Linked DNA regions of Ovis aries. The protein of the gene in region 1 purifies or fractionates together with the protein of each later gene. This does not show direct contact. Links are inferred from orthologs where the notes say so. Each region holds a gene or a part of one and is shown in the gene's direction. Other genes may lie near its edges. The genes, in order: POLR2D, MED19, RNGTT, POLR2M and RPRD1B.

What was found.
Region 2: the proteins of POLR2D (region 1) and MED19 purify together in Homo sapiens (affinity purification with mass spectrometry; 4 studies listed by BioGRID and IntAct, with this or other methods). This does not show direct contact. The link is inferred for Ovis aries from reciprocal best matches to the Homo sapiens genes POLR2D and MED19.
Region 3: the proteins of POLR2D (region 1) and RNGTT purify together in Homo sapiens (affinity purification with mass spectrometry; 3 studies listed by BioGRID and IntAct, with this or other methods). This does not show direct contact. The link is inferred for Ovis aries from reciprocal best matches to the Homo sapiens genes POLR2D and RNGTT.
Region 4: the proteins of POLR2D (region 1) and POLR2M purify together in Homo sapiens (affinity purification with mass spectrometry; 3 studies listed by BioGRID and IntAct, counting the BioPlex papers as one, with this or other methods). This does not show direct contact. The link is inferred for Ovis aries from reciprocal best matches to the Homo sapiens genes POLR2D and POLR2M.
Region 5: the proteins of POLR2D (region 1) and RPRD1B purify together in Homo sapiens (affinity purification with mass spectrometry; 3 studies listed by BioGRID and IntAct, counting the BioPlex papers as one, with this or other methods). This does not show direct contact. The link is inferred for Ovis aries from reciprocal best matches to the Homo sapiens genes POLR2D and RPRD1B.

The regions. Positions count from the first base shown.
Region 1 is NC_056055.1:117,615,743-117,619,767, forward strand, and holds the start of POLR2D (DNA-directed RNA polymerase II subunit RPB4), read left to right. Parts: upstream 1-1,224; 5' UTR 1,225-1,252; coding exon 1,253-1,325; intron 1,326-3,079; coding exon 3,080-3,260; intron 3,261-4,025. UniProt on the Homo sapiens protein: Core component of RNA polymerase II (Pol II), a DNA-dependent RNA polymerase which synthesizes mRNA precursors and many functional non-coding RNAs using the four ribonucleoside triphosphates as substrates.
Region 2 is NC_056068.1:79,750,235-79,754,436, reverse strand, and holds the start of MED19 (mediator of RNA polymerase II transcription subunit 19), read left to right. Parts: upstream 1-1,392; 5' UTR 1,393-1,425; coding exon 1,426-1,642; intron 1,643-1,700; exon of another isoform or gene 1,701-2,323; coding exon of another isoform or gene 2,324-2,423; intron 2,424-4,202. Other genes in the region: TMX2 (thioredoxin-related transmembrane protein 2), read right to left, coding at 779-967. UniProt on the Homo sapiens protein: Component of the Mediator complex, a coactivator involved in the regulated transcription of nearly all RNA polymerase II-dependent genes.
Region 3 is NC_056061.1:48,568,772-48,572,282, forward strand, and holds part of RNGTT (mRNA-capping enzyme), read left to right. Parts: intron 1-1,962; coding exon 1,963-2,127; intron 2,128-3,511.
Region 4 is NC_056060.1:50,699,612-50,703,817, reverse strand, and holds the start of POLR2M (protein GRINL1A), read left to right. Parts: upstream 1-1,395; 5' UTR 1,396-1,529; coding exon 1,530-1,642; intron 1,643-3,325; coding exon 3,326-3,973; intron 3,974-4,206.
Region 5 is NC_056066.1:66,897,876-66,902,043, forward strand, and holds the start of RPRD1B (regulation of nuclear pre-mRNA domain-containing protein 1B), read left to right. Parts: upstream 1-1,362; 5' UTR 1,363-1,747; coding exon 1,748-1,898; intron 1,899-4,168. UniProt on the Homo sapiens protein: Interacts with phosphorylated C-terminal heptapeptide repeat domain (CTD) of the largest RNA polymerase II subunit POLR2A, and participates in dephosphorylation of the CTD by RPAP2. Transcriptional regulator which enhances expression of CCND1.

The DNA.
Region 1 (4,025 bases):
TCAGGGCCTTGCACTTACGTGTTTATAATGGTTTCCTGAATGAAAATGTGGGCAAAACAGCCTGTGAAACATCAGTGTGGATTATTTGCTGTTCTCTCTTCTGTTGCCTTCTCTTCCTGCTGTGTGTTAGTTATGTGGCTAGTACTGGGGCCAGCAAATGTTAAGGTCCAGTTAAGTAGTAGGTAGGTGCTCTGCAAAAGCCTGTTGGATGGATAGATGGGAGAAGGGGGCCTACACTGAGCTCAAAGACTATCCCATACCCAGCTGGGGCATGTTCCCAGACTCCTCTGGGCATTGGCCTGCAGCTCTAATGAACTGTGTAGGAAAGCACTTTGAAGCAGTAATAAGCTCTGCCAGCACTATACGACCTACCATTAATTCACCTGATACATTTCTTTTGGAAACACATACACAAGGCAAATTAACTTTTATAAATTATAATTTAAAGGAATTATAAATTAAAGGAATACAGATGCATACCCTTGTCTGGTAATATCGTCATTTTTTGTGAACAGTTTATATACTTATAGACGGTTCATTCCTGAGCCAAGCAGTGCACTATGGTTATTTTCTGCATTGTACAACCATCTGTTTTCTCTCAAGTTGGAAACAGAATCATTTTTCATTTGCTTGCTTACTCGAAGTATCACCCAAATGTTCCAACAGGCTTCTCAATATCACTATCCACTATTCCATGTTCAGAAGTATTGGAAAAAATCCACTACAAATCAAACATTTTAAATGCTTTGAGGCATTGGAGGAATTACACTGAATGTTTTCAGAGTCACCTACCCAGCTTCCCATCAACTAGAGATCCTTGGGTCGGTCTGCGCGTTCCTGCCTCCCATCTAATCCTTCCCCTGCGCCCTGGAAAGCGGTATCCTCATCCACACTTCACAGGTGAGATAGCTGAGGCTCAGAAATGCCAACTGAGCAGTCCCCACGACTCGCAGCGAAGGACCTACTGTTGAAGAAAGTGACGGTTTTCTCCTGCCGCGGCCGCAGGATGCGCCACCCCGTCGCGGCACTTCCAGAGACCTGCAAGACCCCACCGCTCTGGCCCCTCCCCGCTTGCGCCCGAGGCCGCTAGGTCCCTTGGCCCCGCCCACCCCGCGGTTGTCTCGCCTACCCATCGCGGCCCGCCCACCTTCAGTGGGGCCCCGCCCCGTCTGCAAGAACACGCCCCTTCCGTGGCGGCGACCGGAAGGAGCTTCCGCTTCCGACAGCGTGGGTACTGGTTCTCGGCGAGAGGATGGCGGCGGGCGGGAACGATCCGCGCTCTGGAGATGTAGAGGAGGACGCATCACAACTCATCTTTCCCAAAGGTGCGGCCTGGGCAGGCGTGGCGAAGGGCGCGGAGGAGGAGGGTGCGGGCGGTCTGGGCACGGTTCCGCGGGAACTGGCCAGCTGGAGTCCACACCGGCAGCGCTGGAGCCGTCGGCCCCCAACTCCACATCGCCCCGGGGGGCCTCTTGTTCGTGTTTAAGTTGTTTTAGTCCATAAACTAGGAAGTGCTGGACGGTTGTGTCAAAGATAAAGCCAACACTAAAGGGGTAATGGCACGTTTTAATCATTAATATACTATCGCAGTAGGGAAAAGCGTGAAGCGTGGAATCATCTAGACTTGGATTTGTGCAAAGGTGACTGGGCGTTTTAAAGGGAGAATGAAGGAATAGGGAGAGGGGTGAGCAGGGCCTCACAAAGAGTCAGGGAAGTGAAAAATTACGAGAAGCGGGGGTTGGTCCGTTTGAAGCTCATTTGGATTTGTTAACTGGTGGTTATGGGGTTAGGCTCCTTCCTTCCCAACACCCTTCGCCCTGGGCTGTGAGACAAGGGCCCTATCTTCAGATGTTGTCAGGAACAAACAAATTATTTTGACAGCCTTCAGTTTTCATAAGCAGCCACTGTAAAGGAGCTAGAGTCATCCCAGGGATGCAGCCTTGAGCTGTTAGAAATCGTGTTAGTGTTTTCTTCAAGTCTTTGTGGAACAACCTTGAGTCCTAGTCGTGAAAAGGGCGCACAGGAGCCTGGCCAGAGCTTGGTTATGAGAGAAGAGAATCTTTGTCAGATGGCAGCGAGTAAAGCACTGTTTGCTATCAGGGATTCTGTGCTGTGTGATGGACTTAATGTGTAATTTAAAAACCCAAAATAAGTAGCTTAAGACTTCAACATATATCTTACAGGTACTGAAAAACACGAAGTCAGTGAACAGTAACAACAAAGTGGGGAAAACTTTAACAGTACCTGTCTTTTAAAAAAAAATTGCCACTAATATATGCAGAGTAAAACCTTAAAGTCCACACCTTTTCACCCAAACAACTATAAATAGTGTTTATCCTTCCAAACCATGCTTATTTTTAAGTATATACTTATACCCTTCATTCTTTGCAAAAATAGGATTATGCTATAGAAATCATAAATTTTGTAGAACTGTTCTATTCTTTTAAAGGACTAGATAGTACTTGATGGGTGGTGATGGTGTTCAGTCGCGAAGTTGTTGTGTCAACTGTTTTGCAATCCTTTGGACTGTAGCCCACCAGGCTCCTCTGTCCATGGAATTTCCCAGGCAAGAATACAGGAGTGGGTTGCCATCTTCTCCAGGGGATCTTCCCCACCAAGGGATCAGGCCTCTCCTGCATTGGCAGGTGGATTCTTTACCACTAAGCCACCAGGGAAGCCCGCTTAATGGTTGTACCATAATTCTATTTATTAATGTGTATAGAGATTGCTTTCAGTATTGTATGTCATAGACTCATGGTGAAATATTTCCGAGGACAGCGTCACAGACGGTGTAGGCGTAATGGACATGTATGTTTGTTTTCTTTTTTAAGGTGTGATAACTGAGAGGTAGGTGGTTTTCTGAATTTCATGATAAACCAGTTTTTGGTACTTGGGTTTTGTCTCGGTTCTTTTTATTTAAGGCGTTTTGTTTGTGTGAACACTGTACAGTTGTAGGATGTGAAGCCTCTGGATTTCTGCAGGGTCAGAAGTTTGCTGATAGTCACTAAGGCAAATGAACATTTAGAAGCTGACTTGGGAAGAAATATTTTCAGCTGACATTTATGCTTCTCGCAAATAGAGTTTGAAACAGCTGAGACGCTTCTGAATTCGGAAGTTCATATGCTTCTTGAGCATCGAAAGCAGCAGAATGAGAGCGCAGAGGATGAGCAGGAACTTTCCGAGGTCTTCATGAAAACTTTAAATTACACTGCCCGTTTCAGTCGTTTCAAAAACAGAGAGACCATCGCCAGTGTCCGTAGGTGAGTGCTGAAAGAAAGTTCTTACTAACCCAGACTGCTGGGCACCTGCATGTGGAAGGCTGTCAGCACCACCATCCCCACTCACCCACCCCACCCCTGCTGCCTCAGGGGCGTCGTTCGTGCGATTCATGTGAGGAAAATTATGTCTTTGGCAAACTTTAACGTAGCTTGTTAGACCGAAATCCTCCTTGCCTACTTTTTCTGTACCCTAAATCCCACTTACCTCCCTGCAGAGTGACTACTGTCAAAAGTTTGTTGCTAGCTCTCCAGAGCTTATTCCATGAATTCATATACACACACGTCACAAACACACAGCCCTGTTATGTTTTAAATAGAGTGGACTTATTTATCGTTCACCTGATATGTCCTAGAGATCTTGCTGCATTTTGTTTTTTTTTTAAATATCTATCTATTTATTTATCTGTCTGTGTCAGGTCTTAGTGTCTGCACATCAGCTCTTCACTGCAGCGTGCAGGCTTCTCTCTCATTGTGACTTGCAGGCCCCAGGGTATAGGGCTCAGGAGAGTTCAGGGCTCAGTAGAGTACAGGGCTCAGTTGAGTTCAGGGCTCAGTTGAGTACAGGGCTCAGTAGAGTACAGGGCTCAGTAGAGTTCAGGGCTCAGTAGAGTACAGGGCTCAGTTGAGTACAGGGCTCAGTAGTTGTGGCAGATCCCTTTAGTTGCCCTTTTGCATGTGAAATCTAGTTCCCCAAGCTGGGATCGAACCCACGCTCTCTACAGTGGAAGTGTAAAGTGTGGAGTATTA
Region 2 (4,202 bases), on another chromosome or scaffold:
CCTGACCAGGGATGGAACCCAGGCCCCCTGCAAAGGCAGTGCAGTCTTAACCCCTGGACCACCAGGGAAGCCCCTCAAGTTATTTTTCTGAGTGGTCCCTCCATTCCAGTTCAGGGAGAACTCCAAGAGGCTTGAGACAGATTTCTTTACAGCGTTTTTTTCTTTTTTTTTTTTTTTACAATTCCATTTCCATAGGCCTAACAATTTTATTTATTTTTACATCCCCAGTATGCGGCACACAGCCCAGCACACAGTCCGCCCTGAGAGACTGTTAACTTGATTTTAAGAAATGGCTGTGTGCTGTTACCGTGGCTAAAGAGTGGCTGCAAATCCTCGTCGCTCACTAGTTGTGTGACCTTGGACGAGTCTCCTAACTACGCCAAGATCCGTTTCTTCATCAATAAAACGAGAATACTACAAATACTACTCGCCTTGTACAACTCACTGGTTCTTTATTAACGAGCAACACTGGAAGAGAGTGCGAGGGCCCAGTCTGGGGAAGACTCTGGTCGAGCATGGATTGGGAGGTGGGAAGGAGCTTGGCCTCAAAAGGCAGAAGGCTGAGACTGCTGGGCGAGCTAACCGGCTGCTTTCTCACCCTAAACAAGAGGAGGGTTAGGCTCGGTAACAATCCACGCCCTACACTCTTAGCAGTCTGTCAAGTCCGCTAAGAGGCCCGGAACCTGAGGCGTTCTCAAAACGGTCCCTCGGGGCTCCCGGCTGCGACCACCAGGGCGGGGACAGTCAAGGTCGTGGGGTCCCGAGGAGGGTCGCTCACCCAGTCAAAGTCACACGGGTTGCCGTCTTCGCGTTGCGTGGGGAGACTTTCGCAGACAGGGGGCAGCTTCCTGACGAGTAGGAAGGCAGCAGAGAGCAGGGCTGACAAAAAGTAGTAAGGTCGAGCCAGCCATCGTGAAAGTCGCGGGACTGAATACACGAGAGCAATCAAAGGCGCTAGGACCGCCATCTTCTCGGCCCCCTGAGGCACCGGCCGCTCTCTTCGGCTTCCGTAGGTCTGGTCCCGCCTCTCTCACCATTGAAGGTTTCCATTGGGCCAAGTGTCAGATGGCCCGCCTCTAGACCCGGAGCTAGATCTCTGATTGGCCCTCTACGGCAGGTAAGGGAGGTGAGAGAGGGATTTGATATGCTATTGGCTAACCTAGCTGTCGCTTTTACTACCTAAGTCATTTCATTGGTTAAGCGATTGCTGCGAGCGGAGGCCTCGGAAAATTTAATAATGTTAAGGAGTATTTCCTGAACGTTCTCAGAAGGCGACGGAAGTCGTTGCCGGAAGAAGGTAGGCAGGGCCAGAGGCAGTCCAATGGTAAACGACTCCTGGAGGAAAAGGGCGGTACCCCGTGAAAAGATTAACCAATGAGAATCATTAACGCCAGACACCGGGACGGCGCCGGGGCAGAGGGGACGATGGAGAATTTCACGGCGCTGTTCGGGGCCCAGGCTGACCCGCCACCTCCCCCAGCGGCACTCGGCTTCGGACCCGGAAAGCCGCCCCCCCCGCCGCCACCGCCTCCGGGCGGGGGGCCCGGCCCGGCCCCGCCCCCGACCGCCGCTTCGGCCCCTCCCGGGAGCGACAAGTCGGCGGCAGGCTGCGGCCCCTTCTACCTAATGAGGGAGCTGCCAGGTGAGTCCGAGGCCCGGCCGAAGCCGGCCAATCAGATCGCCGCGAGGTGGGGCTGGGCGTGGCTCCTAGATGCCGAGGGAGGTGAGGGGAAGCCCGGGCGGCGCGTGCGGGGATTTCGGAGCTCCGTGTCGGAAACGACTGCGAATTCAAGGCCAAAGGCACGACAGGAATCCTCAGGATGGACTGGGAATGAGAAGAATGGGTCTCTGTGGCCGCCTTTCACGCTCCGCCCTGTCTCTGAAGCTGATGGTGGTTTTATGATTCCCTAAAAGTTACTCCCTGGAGGTTCAGACGGTGAAGAATCCGCCTGCAATGCGGCAGACCTGGGTTTGAGCCCTCAGGTGGGAAGAACCCTGGAGAAGGGAAAGGCTACCCACTGCAGTATCCCTGCTTGGAAAATTCCGTGGACGGAAGAGCCTGGAGGGCTACAGTCGATGGGGTCGCAGAGTCGGACACGACTGAGTGGCTAACTGAAAAAGCACCCAGGGTTCAAGTTTGGAATTTGAGAGTCCTTATTTAACATCCTTGCGGACCTAGTTCCAAATCTGCTTCCGACTTCCTGTTGGTTTGTTGCCTTTCTTTTTTCTCTGGGCCTGGGCCTTTCCTCATCTGTTGGAACAAGTGAATAGAATTGGACCAGACTCTTTCATTCAAAAACTTATTTCGTTGAGCACCTATTTTATGTACCAGGGGTTATTGTACACTGAAGATACAACTGTGAATAAGGCTGACAAGATCCTTGCCTGTTTGGGAATTTACGTGCCCATGGAGGAGGCAAAAGGTAACAGGGTGAAATCACAAAGCAGTTACGGCTGTAGGAAAAAAAAATGTGATAAGATTTAAGGGAGCTGAACTGCTTTAGCTAGAGTGATCAGAGAAGCTCTTTCTGAGTAGGTTACTTTAGAGTTAAAATGTAAGCGCAGAGAAAGAGCTAGCCATTTATGAGTGGGAGAAGGAATAACTGGATACAAAAAAAATGAAATCAACAGCCCCAATGTGAGAAAAATCTTGTAATGTTTGAGGAACAGAAGATCAGCTGGACTCCAGTGAAGTGAACAGAGGAGTGATAGATAAAGTGAGAGTGTAGGCAGAGGCCTGTGTTAGACATTTAGATTTTAACATATTATTGACCAGAAACATGTCAATACCTTTTTTAGAGAGTGAAACCATTAACATCACCGTGGGAAGTTGTTAAAGCTTAAAATTGATCAAGGATTCATCATACAGCTTATCATTGACATTATCATTCACATTTTGCTCTGTTAGGTTTTTATTCCAACCTTGTGTACCTTATAAACACAAGTTTATTTTCATAAAATTTTAAAAAGTGACACACCATGCAGTTTTGAATGAAGAAAATTTTTTCAGTGAATTTTATGCAGATACTTTCTCTTATTGTCCGAGCAGCACCTAGTGCTGCAGCCCACGGGGTCGCTAAGAGTCGGACACTACCGCGTGACTTCACTTTCACTTTCATGCATCGGAGAAGGAAATGGCAACCCACTCCAGTGTTCTTGCCTGGAGAATCCCAGGGACGGGGGAGCCTGGTGGGCTGCCGTGTATGGGGTCGCACAGAGTCGGACACGACTGAAGCGACTTAGCAGCAGCAGCAGCAGATGATAGTTGTTCCGAATGTAGTTCTGATTCAGATGATGTGACTATTAGACCAACAAAGAGACAGAAAACCTTAGTGATTGTTTTCTGATACGGAAAGTGAAAATGAAACTCATGGTGCTGGAGAAGACTTTACAGGTGTGTCAGCTGTAACTATTGAATGTAATAATGCAAAGTGGTAGTGAAATAGCTGAATTAATTATTGCGTTAGTTTCTACAAAAATCCCCCTTTCAATAATGTTACTGCTTAGTGGTCCAGGAAAGAGGTGGTTTAGACTAGGCGATAGCAATGGAGGAAAGAAGTAAATGGATGCAGGATAAATGTTAGAGGTAGAACTGACAGGAATGAAGGATTGAATATAGAAGTGGAGGAGAGAGGAATTGAGGGTGATTTCGAATTTTTGGCTTGAATAACAGGATTGATGGTAGTGCTGAGGTCAGGCAAGAACAAGTTTGAGGAGGTGGAAACCGGGAGTCATTTTAGACATACATGTTAGTCTCAGGGACATCTTTCAGTTCATCCCACGTCCATAGCTTTGACTGTATGGACCTTTATCGGCAAAATGATGTCTCTACTTTTTTAAAATGCTGTCTAGGTTTATCATAGCTTTCCATTCAAGAAGTAAGCATCTTTTAATCCCATGGCTGCAGTCACTGTCTGCAGTGATTTTGGAGCCCAAGAAAATAGAGTCTGTCACTGCCACCACTTTTTCGCCTTTTATTTGCCATGAAGTGATGGGACCTGATGCCATGATCTTAGTTTTCTGAATGTTGAGTTTTAAGCCAACTTTTCCACTCTCTTTCACCCTCATCAAGAGGCTCCAAAGTTCCTCTTCACTTTCTGCTATTAGAGTGGTGTCATCTATCTGAGGTTGTTGCTCTTTATCCCAGCAATCTTGATTCCAGCTAGTGATGTTTCAGTAGGATGTTTATACCTTCAACGACA
Region 3 (3,511 bases), on another chromosome or scaffold:
GTGCAAGAGACCTGGGTTCCATCCCTGGGTTGGGAAGATTCCCTGGAGAAGGGAATGGCTACCCACTCCAGTATTGTGACCTAGAGAATTCCATGGACTGTAGAGTCCATGGGGTCACAAAGAGGCAGACAGAACTGAGCGACTTTCACTTTCACTGATGATTAACCACTTTGTTTATTTTGATTTATCAAATCAAGGTCACTATGAGAAAATTTTTTTGAGATAACAGTGTAAAACTTTTTAATCCTTTAGTTTGCTGTTTTGTCCAGCAGTAATTTCATTGATAATTTTTCGTATGTCAAGTATTATTCTAGGTATCAGGAATATACAGAAGACTAGGACATGATTTCTTGCCTCCAGGGAATTTATGATTTAGTGTACTGACCTCCAAAAAAGGCTACTTCCTCAACAATTCATTGGGATTTGAAAAGAAGAAAGATTTATTCTTAATCTATTATTCAATTTTTGTCTGTTTTATAATATACAGTTGTGTATATATGCAATTTATTAGAGGCTAATATGCATATATTATACACAATTGTTAGGATATGTGTTTAGATTGAATGCAAAATTAAAAGAAACTTGAAGTGCACTTATGAATGGGAATGTAAATTAAAGAAATAATTATAAAAGTATCATAAGTATAATATCAAAGATATTAGGGAGAAATAGGGAAGTATATGGGAGATATATGAGAGGTAGCAAAGAGGTGAGAATATTCCAGGTTGAGTCATTTGAAGTGTGGAGTTGTAGACAGAGAAAGTGACCCATTAATTGTGAAGGAGTGAGCCTAAGAGGTCAGGAGCGTTAGATGGACATTTGTGTACTTGATGTGTGGTGAGATGTGCGATGTAGCAGGAAATGAGAATGGATGGTGGTGGGGGGGGGGTGCAGATTACTTGAATAAGGCATTTTAGCTCAGTTCTGTGTAAAATAGGATACTACTGAAGGGTTTTAGTTATGTTAATGATACGATCATACTTTAATTGTTTTGAAAGATAACTCCACTGGCAGTGTGGGTAGTGTTTTGACCTAAGAAAGAACTCAAAACGGAGAAGACTATTGAGAAGTCAATAGTTTGAGTGCTTCCTGTAGTCTGTTCTCCATAATTCAACACATCTATCAGGAACTTCCTTTATCATGGGTAGCACAGATTTGAAGGTGAACTTACTTTCTATTTGTAATTTTTAGACTTCTTATTTTATTTCTTAAGAAGAAGCCTTGCTTGTTTCACTGTAATTTTATAGGGGTCTGAACTCATCTAATAAATGAACCTGACATTTTAGATTTCTCAACCTTGTTAATGACATAGGTGACGTGGAAAAGAGCGACTTTACTTTCACTTTAAATATGTATACCATAATATATATACTGTGTATATACATATAGAGGAGTGGATTACTTTATTTTTTGAATATATTTTATAAACTGTTCTGTATTAGTTTTCAGAGTTTATAATATATTTCTTTAATAATATCTTCTACTTCTTGATGGCTTTAAGGTGTTAGCATTTTAAACAACAAAACGATGATTTATTTATTTATTTTTTTGCTTATTTTGGTGTGTTGTTTACATATACTTTCCTACCTACTTGGATTTTAGTTTTTACACAGGTCTTACTAATTCATATAAATAATAAAGTGTTTAGTGAGTATATTAATACTTTAATTAAGATGTGAAAGCTTTGGATCTAAAATTTGTATTTGAGGAGATTTATATTGTTCCCCTATTTTCTTTTATATATTTATAATTTAAATAATTTTGTATATGTGTATTTGCACGTTTAGGTATGCTTCTATCATTAGTCTGTCAGGACTGGCACGTACGGTGGTGCAGGCTGTGCATTGGGCAGCTCCAAAGGATGCTGTTTATATAGACTGCTGTAGTGTGACCGCCTAAATAACTATTCTGATATAATAGTTTTTAGTGTTGAAATTTAAATAATTGTCTGGTTTAATTCAGGCACAGCCGGTTGGAGATTGTGATTTTAATATTCGTCTGCAGTGTATAGAAAGAGAAATAATAAATCCTCGACATGAAAAAATGAAGACAGGGCTCATTGACAAAACACAGGAACCATTCAGTGTCAGACATAAGCCATTTTTTGACATCTATGCTTCAAGAAAGGTAAAGTTTTCTAATTAGTACTTACAGTGTATCAAAATTTAACTTGTGAAAGGAATATGAATGACATTTTGAGGCCCTCTTTTCTTGACTTTTCCAGAAATTACTTGAATATAGCACTGTTTTGGACAGACATGTAAAACCTCAAGTCTGCACATTCACAAGATTCTTTTTTTTAAAATTTAAGTATAGTCGATTTACAATGCTGTGTTAGTTTCGGGTGTACAGCAAATTAATTCAGTTACATATATATGTATATATATTGTTTTTCATTATAGGTCATTGTATGATGTTGAATATAGTTCTTTCTGCTGTACAGTAGGTCCTTGTTTATCTGCTTTATCTTGGTAAGATTTTAGTGATGGAAACTTAAGTTATTCCTTGTGTCTCATAATAGTATTTGATTCATGGTTGTTGGTTTATGTTTTTTAAAAAGCTGTGAAAAGAATAGAATTATATAAAGTGAAAATCACCTGTTAGGCCTTCTGAAGGTCAACAGTGTTTAGTGTGTAGTCTTATTTTAAAAACTAATTTATATATATGGATATATATACATACACATGGAGAGTTTTCTTTTGTTATTGCTTTTTTGTTGTTTTGACTGAAAATGCATCATACTAAATATTCTGGAATTATTTCACTTAACAGTACTTGGAAATGCTCACGTGGAAATATTTCCATGTCATGCAAAGAGATTTGTAATTGCTGCATAGTGTTTGACAGTAAAGATGCACCATGGAATTATTATGTTTCAGAAGAGGTGTGGTTAGGATAGAAGAATACAGGAAATAAAGCAACATGAGCAATTACATGTTTTAAAATTTTTTTCTGGTATAATCTCACATGTTGGATGATGTAATTTTGTGTTGTATTTGAACTGCTTCTGCTCAAGTCTGCTCAATTCGGTATTAGCCCCTGGATATAATATTAACAATAATCTTAGCCCTGTTGAATGCCTGTCTTTTTTTCTCAACAGATACAAACTTACCATTCCACTTTCACATTTTGCATAATGCCTGCTTGGCATGGTCCCATTGGTTGACTTCTGGTGCCACAGCCTTCCTACAGTTCACTGCTTGCCTTTTCTGTCTGTTTTGGCTACAGGAATAGGGGTGCCTATAAGAGCCATACACTTCTATGCCCTGCCCAGTCGGTAGGATAAGGATAATGTTAACATTTAGTGCAGGTCACGCCCTTCATGGAAATCTGCTAACTGGAGCTGTGTTCAGTTCAGTTCAGTTCAGTTCAGTCACTCAGTTGTGTCCAATTCTTTGCAACCCTATGAACTGCAGCATTCCAGGCCTCCCTGTCCATCACCAACTCCCGGAGTCCACCCAAACCCATGTCCATTGAGTCAGTGATGCCATCCAACCATCTTATCCTCTGT
Region 4 (4,206 bases), on another chromosome or scaffold:
TGACAAGGGCCTTTCTTGAGTATTTCTCACTTAGAAAGCTATGGAGCAGGTTACTGAAATCCTTGTTTCAAAGCAGAGTTTATGTTGAGACTTTTGATATGTTAAACTGATCAGAATGGACTAGATTGTAAGGATACAGACACAGTTTCAGCTGTACTTCCTGAAATAGCCTCATATTTTATCTAGAGCTTCCCTCTGATTGGGAGGGAATTGTTTGTTACAGCACCTTACAAAGGACTAGCAAATGTAAATTTTCCGTATCAAAGAAGGGAGAGACTGGGGTTGGAGGTTATAGGGTCTTTCAAACCTCACAACTGATGTCTGTTAAGACTATAGCATGCTTCCTACTTTTTTCTTTGGGATCCAGCTTTCTTACCTGAACTATAGAGAAGAGTTAGGTGTTACACTGAAGAGTTAGCAGTTACACTGCTTTCCTCAACAGCCTAAAAAACTTTCTTGCTCTTTGCAAGATTTTTGAATTGGGGTGGCAGAAAGACCACCTGGGCATTTGTGTCTACAGCAATGATGTTCTCACTTACTAGTTTTGTGCCCTGGGAAAACTTCAGTTTTTGTGCCTTTGTTTTTCCAAGGGCAAAACGGGTAATTGTGAAAAAGAGGTTCTCCGTTTGTTGTGCAGCACCTCCTACTATCATCACCTCTTGTGGGCCTTTGAAATCGTGTGTGTGTGTGTGTGTGTGTGTGTGTGTGTGTTGGGGAGATGCATTTTGTACTGTTACAAGGACTCAGGAGTGTGTGTGTTGGGGCGGCGGGGGGCGGGGGTGCGTTTTGTATTTTTAGGAGGATTCAGGAATGCCAAACCAACTAGAGAGCAGAAACCCAGACATCAAATAGACACCAAATATCTTGCAATACCTGAGGCAGTCCTGAAAACGAGGAAAAGTCTTGCTTCAAATGCCACAAAGCCGCCTTAAGAAACGCTGATGGTTCTGAATGATCCTCCAACATTAATGTTTGAGGTCTTCACTAAACCCAGAACTAGCAAGGCCACGCCATAGGCCAGGGCTTCACGTGCCCGGTACATACTCCAGCTTCACTAATGGTTAACCAATTCATCACTCCTGTTTCCACGTGTCTTTCACTTCTTCGTTATTCCTTCCTTGGTGCCCATAGCCGTCTTACAATTCTTCCATTTGTTAATTGATTAATGTCTGCTCTCCTCCCTCACTCAGCAGACTCCTTCAGGACAGGGCCCCAGGAACTCACTTTTTCTGAATACTTAAGCCAAGACCCAAGGCACAGGAAGAATAAGCAACTAGAAAGCGCGCCCCGCCGGCGCGTGACGTCACCCCGCGATTCCCGCCCCGGCCGCCACTCCCTCAACTCTGTCCGTGTTTATTTCCGGCGTTTCAATAAAGCTCGATTCGGCTAGAAGAAGACTTGTTCTTCCGGGAAAATGGCGACTCCCGCTCGTTCGCCGGAGTCCCCGCCGGCCGCGGATCTGGCGCCAGCCACGGGGGCTGCCGAGGACGCCGAGTGCCCACCGCCTCGCCAGCCTCAGCCCCCGCAGAATGTCCTCGCTTCCCCGCGGCTTCGAGCCCCAAACTCCCGAGGACTTGGGGCAGCGGAGTTTGGCGGAGCTACGGGAAATGTTGAAGCGCCAGGAGAGACTTTTGCGCAACGTGTAAGCTTGGGTCCCGCGAAGTCACCGCAGGGTTCCTCGCGTTGGGAACCCTGGGACGGGCCCCTCCCCGCCCCCATCCCGATCTCTTTCCTGGAAGGTCACCTTGTCTTAGGTCCGTTCCAGGCCCACGGGCTAGTGGCCGGCCTACAGTCACAGAGCTACCGCGTACAGCCCGGGCGCCGGGCGCCCGTGTTTCTGGCTCTCCAGCGTTTCAGCTCCTCTTTGATTTTACTTACTCAGTGCCTGTGTCGGCCCTCCAAGGGGAGGGTCTGTATCCCCAGTCCTTTCGCTCCCTTTCCGCCAAATAGTGCCCCAAACACCTAGTAAGTTTCATCTCTAGATCCCATTTTTTTACAGGAACTGTAGGAAGTGGGAAGAGTAGGGTAAAAGAGTGGCTTCTTAGGCAAAGTAAGTTTGGTTCACACTTAGCTGTTAGACTTAATGGATTTTAGCAGAGAATAGGTGTAAAAATAATGATTTTTTTAGGAAGCTTATTTTAGCAGTTTGGTGCAGGAAAATTTGAAGGAATAAGAGGCAGAAGAGACTAGGAGGTATTTTCAGAGAAGTTCTCCAATAAGGGGATTCTAAAAAAGTGAACTAGAAGGGTAGCTGTGGGATTGGGGAGACTAGATCAGGCTTAGGATCATTTGAGTATATGGTTGACAGAGATGGCTGAAGTTTCCAACCTGTATGGAGCACCATTAATAAAAGTAGGAAAACTGGAGGAGGGTAATAGTCTGACACTGATTTTACTTACTGGAGCTTAGTTAATGGAAAAGTTAATTACATTTGATTGAAAGCTGGAGAAGTGGTCATGAGGCTGGAGAGAGAAGAGAACGTTGGGAAAATACAGACCTCTCAACTGGGAGGAATGTTAATAGAATTAGGAGAATGAATGTAGTGTCATAAAGAATAGAGGGTGTGAGCTGTAACCTTCCCTCCACATTTATTGTATGGCTAAAGAAAAGGAAATCAGAAAAAGAACTTTTGCCACTTAGCCAAAGTGGCAAATGATCACTTGGGGATTTCCTGGTAGAGACAACTATTTTGACTGTGAGAATGAGTGAGTTAACTTTTTAGCCTCAGGACCGCTTTAACTCTGAAGACTTACTGAACATTTTGAAGAGCTCTTGCTGTATGTGTGTTATATCGACTGATAGTTATCATTGTCTTAGGAGTTACAAGTGAGAATCTTTAAAACACAAGAACACAAAAACGCATTCTATTAGCCATCAGAACAATGCTATCATCCATATCATGTTGCCTCTGGAAAACTCCCCTGTACTCATGGTAAGAAAAGAGAGTGAAAATGACAAATAGTACCTTAGTTATTATAAATAGTTCTGACCTTGCAGATCCATCCACCTCCCCTCACCAGGAAGGTCTTGGAAATCACACTTTAAAAACTGATTTGGGGCATGTCTTATATTAATATCATGCTTAAAATACTTCTGCAGAAATTCTAATTGTTAATAGATGAGACAAACAAGACATAGTCCCTAATCATCCTGTAGTCCCTTGTTTTGAGGGGTATTTGGGTAATGATTCTCTTATTTCCGGCAGCTGGAAATCAGTTTTTTGACTTAACGGTCGATTTTTCTCCCTTTGAGAATACTACTTTGTATATCTCAAGTTTAAAAACATGGCTCTATGTAACGTATACCTATTCTTTTCCTTTTGTAGAAAATTCATTTGCAAATTGCCCGACAAAGGTAAAAAGATCTCAGACGCTGTCACCAAACTGAAAGCTGCCATTGCAGAACGTGAAGAAGTTAGAGGAAGAAGTGAACTCTTTTATCCTGTTAGCTTAGACTGTAAGGAGAGGCAAAAAGCGATTGCAGTTGTTGATGGGGGCAGAGATAAGGCCCAGAATTCTGACCAGATACTTGATACTTCATCACCTGTTCCTGGCTGTTCGTCTGTAGCTAACATCACATCATCTCAGACAACCTCACGACAACAGGGACTGGAACATCTGACTCGCGGAGGTGATGCTGAGGCAACTGAGGCTGAACACACAGTGAGCAAGCACCCACCTTCTAGCAGCAGAGCCCCAGCACCTTCCTCATCTGAAGCTAGTGAGGGTCTCCCTCAGCATTGTGCCTTAGGTCAAGTGGAGGATCATCCTGGCAGCTCAGACAACCTGTTCATTGATAGATTGCAAAGGATCACAATTGCGGATCCCACTGAACACCACTCAGAAGGAAACCAGAGTCCTGAGAACTTGGCCGGCCTCTGGAGTAGGCCCCAGAAGAAGCCTCATTACATGGAAGTGCTGGAAACGCGAGCCAAAAATCCCATGCCCCCGCCACATAAATTTAAAACCAATGTGTAAGTACCATCAGAAACAGGCTTGTTACAGGAGCATGATATTTGTTAAACTCCCAAAACTGGGAGACTGCATTAAGTTCAGTGGACTTGGTATGAGAACTGCTTGTACTTGGGAATGAGCGTATTGTAGAAGCAGTAAAACGAACATGGCTGGAGTGGAGGATTCTGGCTGGAAAATGCTTTCTTTTTTTAGCCAAGTAATTGAAAAGGTTTTCAGTAGCAGATGGGACATT
Region 5 (4,168 bases), on another chromosome or scaffold:
TTCAACTGTGGCAGAGACTGACTGAATAAACCAGTTTTTGACTCTCATCTTTTCCAAGTTCAGTGGAGCCCTACTGGGTTGTGGAAAGCAGTCCTTGGGGAGGTGTTGGAACAGAACTGCAATCAGTGTTTGAGTGAACCCATTTCCCTGGCAACCTCTCCCCTCCTCCCTGTCTCTTTCTGCTTTGTCACAGGCATGGGCGATATAAGACCTCTGTGCCATGGTGTACAGGTGCGGAAGACAAATGAGACACTCTGTATAGGATAAGGTGCTATACTTTTGTTGTTGTTGTTTAGTCGCTAAGTCGTGTCCCATTCTTTTGTGACCCCATGGACTGTAGCCCACCAGGCTCCTCTGTCCATAGGATTTCCCAGGCAAGAATACAGCAGTGGGTTGCCATTTGCTTCTCCAGGGCATCTTCCAGACCAAAGGATCCAACCCGAGTCTCTTGCCTTGGCAGGCAGATTCTTCACCACTGAGTTACCAGGGAACCATCCCTCCCCCAGAGTACGGAGTATTTCTGTTTCTGAAAACACAGTGTCAAATAGTGTTTCTTAAAGGTTAACGAACCCACTTACTTTCCTATCCACCCACAAAGTTAACATATGGTACTTAAATTAGAGCAACAGTCAAATGGACCCTCCTAGAGGGCAGCCTTTAATTCCCCGAAGAGCAGGAAGATCCCCTGGAGTAGGAAACGGCAAACCCACTCCATCCAGTATTCTTGCTTGGAAAATCCCACGGATAGAGGAGCCTGGCACGGCAGTCCATGGGGTTGCAAAGGGTCAAATACTAGTGAGCACGCACGCAGGCACGCACAACAACCAAGAGCACAAAGGTGTGTTTTACAGCGGTGCCGTCACAAACTGAACATCGGAACTGGCCACTAACGGTGGTTCTGGAGGTGGAGTGGGAACCCACCACGTGGGGAGGGGGGCGTCACCTCTGGAGAAAGATGAGCAAAAGCCAAGATGTGGAGACAGAAAAAGTGCACGTGCGTGGCTCGGCGGAACCAAAAAAAAAAAGCTTTTTGTGGTGGGAGGTCAGAAAGCAGGAGGAAGAGTGTGGCTGCGGCCTGCCAGGTGAGGGAGAAAGGCCCCGTTCCATTCCCAGGCTATGATCTCTCAACCTCATCGTCTCTCTGGGGTTCCCCTCTAAGGGCTCGCGGTTGCTGGGCTCCCTCCTGCTCGCGCCACTCTTCCCTTACCTCGTCATCCAGCCTTTCCCTCACTCTCCCGCCTCCTCCGCCGCGCCGGAAGTGACGCCTAATTCGCGCACCGCCCAGCGCCAGAAAGGTTCTGTGGGAGCGGGAGAAAGGGTTCCGATGAGACTCACTGCGCCGGCGTGCAGGCGCGAGCGGTCAAAGCGCCTTCCGGAGGCCGTCGAGTTGCGCTCTTTTCCCGGTCTGCCGTTCTCGGAGTACTCAAGAGCGAGATTCAAAGAGGCCTTCAACACTAGAGTGTTTTCTACACTCTGACTCACCCCACGTCGGTGCCCCACCACTTCTGCGCTTGCCCTTTGACCCTGCGCCCGCGGCGGGGTGAGAGGTCGGTGGCCATCTTGTGGCGGCTGTGCGGGTGGCTGTTACTGCGGAGACCCATCCCCTCCCCCGCCGGGCCCCCCGGCCGTCTGTCAGTCCGTAAAGAGTCCCGCAGCGGGTGGAGTGAGGCCCCGGCCTCGTGCCGTCACTCTTGCCGCCGCACTGGGCGGCCTAGGCCGCTCCCTGCCAGGCCTCGCCGCCGCCACCATGTCCTCCTTCTCCGAGTCGGCGCTGGAGAAGAAGCTCTCAGAGCTGAGCAACTCTCAGCAGAGCGTGCAGACCCTCTCCCTGTGGCTCATCCACCACCGCAAGCACGCGGGACCCATCGTCTCGGTGTGGCATCGCGAGCTCCGCAAAGGTAAACATCCTCTCCGTCCCCCTCCGGTCCTCCCCCGGGTAGCCCTCGTCCGCACCCACTCCCGCGGCTCCTGTAGCTTCTTTGCTGAGCCTTGGCTTTCCAGGCCCGGACCTGTGATCGATTGCGCTTGCTGAGGTTGGAGACAGTGTTATCCTCATTTCTCGGAGAAGGAAACCGAGGCCTCGGAAGGTTTAAGGTGCTTAAGTCCCACCGACCCGGGCTCAGGATTCTCAGTTCATCCAGTCGTTTTCCCCCTCTGGCTTCTTCTGACACTTGTGACTATTATTCTCTCGGCCCCGTTGAGCGCCAGGTGGAGGGTACAGAGCCTGTTGTGTGCCAGGCACTGACTAGGGATTTGAAGCAAGATTGCCCAGATCGAGCCCTGGCTCAGCCACTTTTACTAGCTGAGTGATATCTGGCAGTTTTCTTCTAAGCCTCTGTTTTCTCATCTGTCAAACGAAAATGAAGACAGTTGGCCCTTACAGAGGCTTTATTCTGTGCCAGTTAGTGTCCTAGGACCTTTCATACATCCTTGCACTTAATGCTCAGCACTGTCCTGGGGAATGGATATAGTCACTGCCATTACAGAGAAGTTAAGAGGCCACTCCACCTAGACCTAGCCTCTCAGGCTCCTCTTCTCATGCAGCTCTCCTTGGTTCTAGATCCTGCTCAGGATCTGGCCGCCATTGATTGAGCTCAGCCTGTCATGTGCCAGGTACTGGGTTGGGTGCTTGAAAGCCAACTGCCTGGAATCTAAGCCCGACTTTGTCATTTACTGAGCTCCGGCAGCTTAACTTCTCTGTATCTCAGTTTCCTGATCTGTAAAATGAAGATGATGATAAGTGATACTTACAGTGCGTTTGTTCTGTGCCAAGTGCAGTACTGATCTCTTTACACACATGTCATTTTTTTTAAAATTCTCAGAGTTCTATGAAGTAGGAACTTGGCAGGTGAGAAAAAAGGAGGCTCAAAGGTTGTGTGGTGAAGAGTAATCAGCCTAATCCTCATGAATGTCTAGCATGGTGTCTGGCACAGTGTAGGCACTGGATAGATACGGTGAGGGGGATACTGGTGACTCCATGTGTGACATGGTGTTTGCCACAGTTGCTTTCGGGGGAGGAAAGAGGGGCACCTACATAGCTGTCGCAGGCACCGGTGAGTTTCAGAGCAGAAAGCCAAGGAAATGAAGTGTAGCGCTGTTTTGGACAGCCTGTGTGTGTAGACCTTTTATAGCATAGGCGGTAACTTTACCTATGTCCTCTGCTCTCTGTGAGCTCAGGATGTCACCCTGTTATGCAGATGAGAGAACCTGTGAGCCTGGGATAACATCAGATTGGCAGACACCCAAATCCAGGATTCTTTTGGGAGACCCAATTCTAGTCCTCTGGCAGAGACAACCCCCCCGGCCAAATATCATGTGCTGTACCGAGATGTGAGGGGGCGGTCCACCTCAGCCTTCTAGATAGTTGGAGAATAGAGCCTGGGTCTCCCAGAACCTCATTCATGTACCCCACTGTGCCACTCAGATCATCTGAGACGTGGGGAGAAAATTTGAATTGCCTCTATAGGATCCTTTCTAGTAGGATCTCAGAAGCATGTCAAAATCCATCTCAAATGTCACTTCTTTTGTGATGCCATCTTGATTCCCCACCTCACCATATTTGAGTTACTGAGAGTAACAATTTAGAGTTCTTTTGTTTATGAAGCTAAATGGCAATCCACTCCAGGACTGTTGCATGGAAAATCCCATGGACAGAGGAGCCTGGTAGGCTACAGTCCATGGGGTTGCAAAGAGTCAGACACAACTAAGTGACTTCCCTTTAAACCCTAATCTCGTATAATGGAACCTTATGTTGTAAGTAGGTCAGCATTATTATCCCTGTTTTATAGATGAAAAGATAAAGATATGAAGAGATTAAATGCTTTGTCAAGAGTTATCCAGTTGGGACATGAGCTTTCTGTGATGAAAGAAATGTTTTACATTTGCTGTCCAATAAGGTAGCCTCTTGCCTTGAGCACTCAAAATGTGTGACTAAGGAAGTTTCAAATAAATACAATGGAAAATTCAGTTCCTGAGTTTTGTTAGGTACAGTGCAAATATTCATAGCTGCATGTGGCTGGTGGCTACCATATTGGACATTATAGAACTGGAGGCTGGTCTTCCAAGCCTCATGATACAGTTTTCTAATACCCAAGCTTCCTTCATGAATTGAAAATGCCTCCACACTAAAGTGGAAAGGGATTTTGTGCCCTAACATTCAAATTGACTA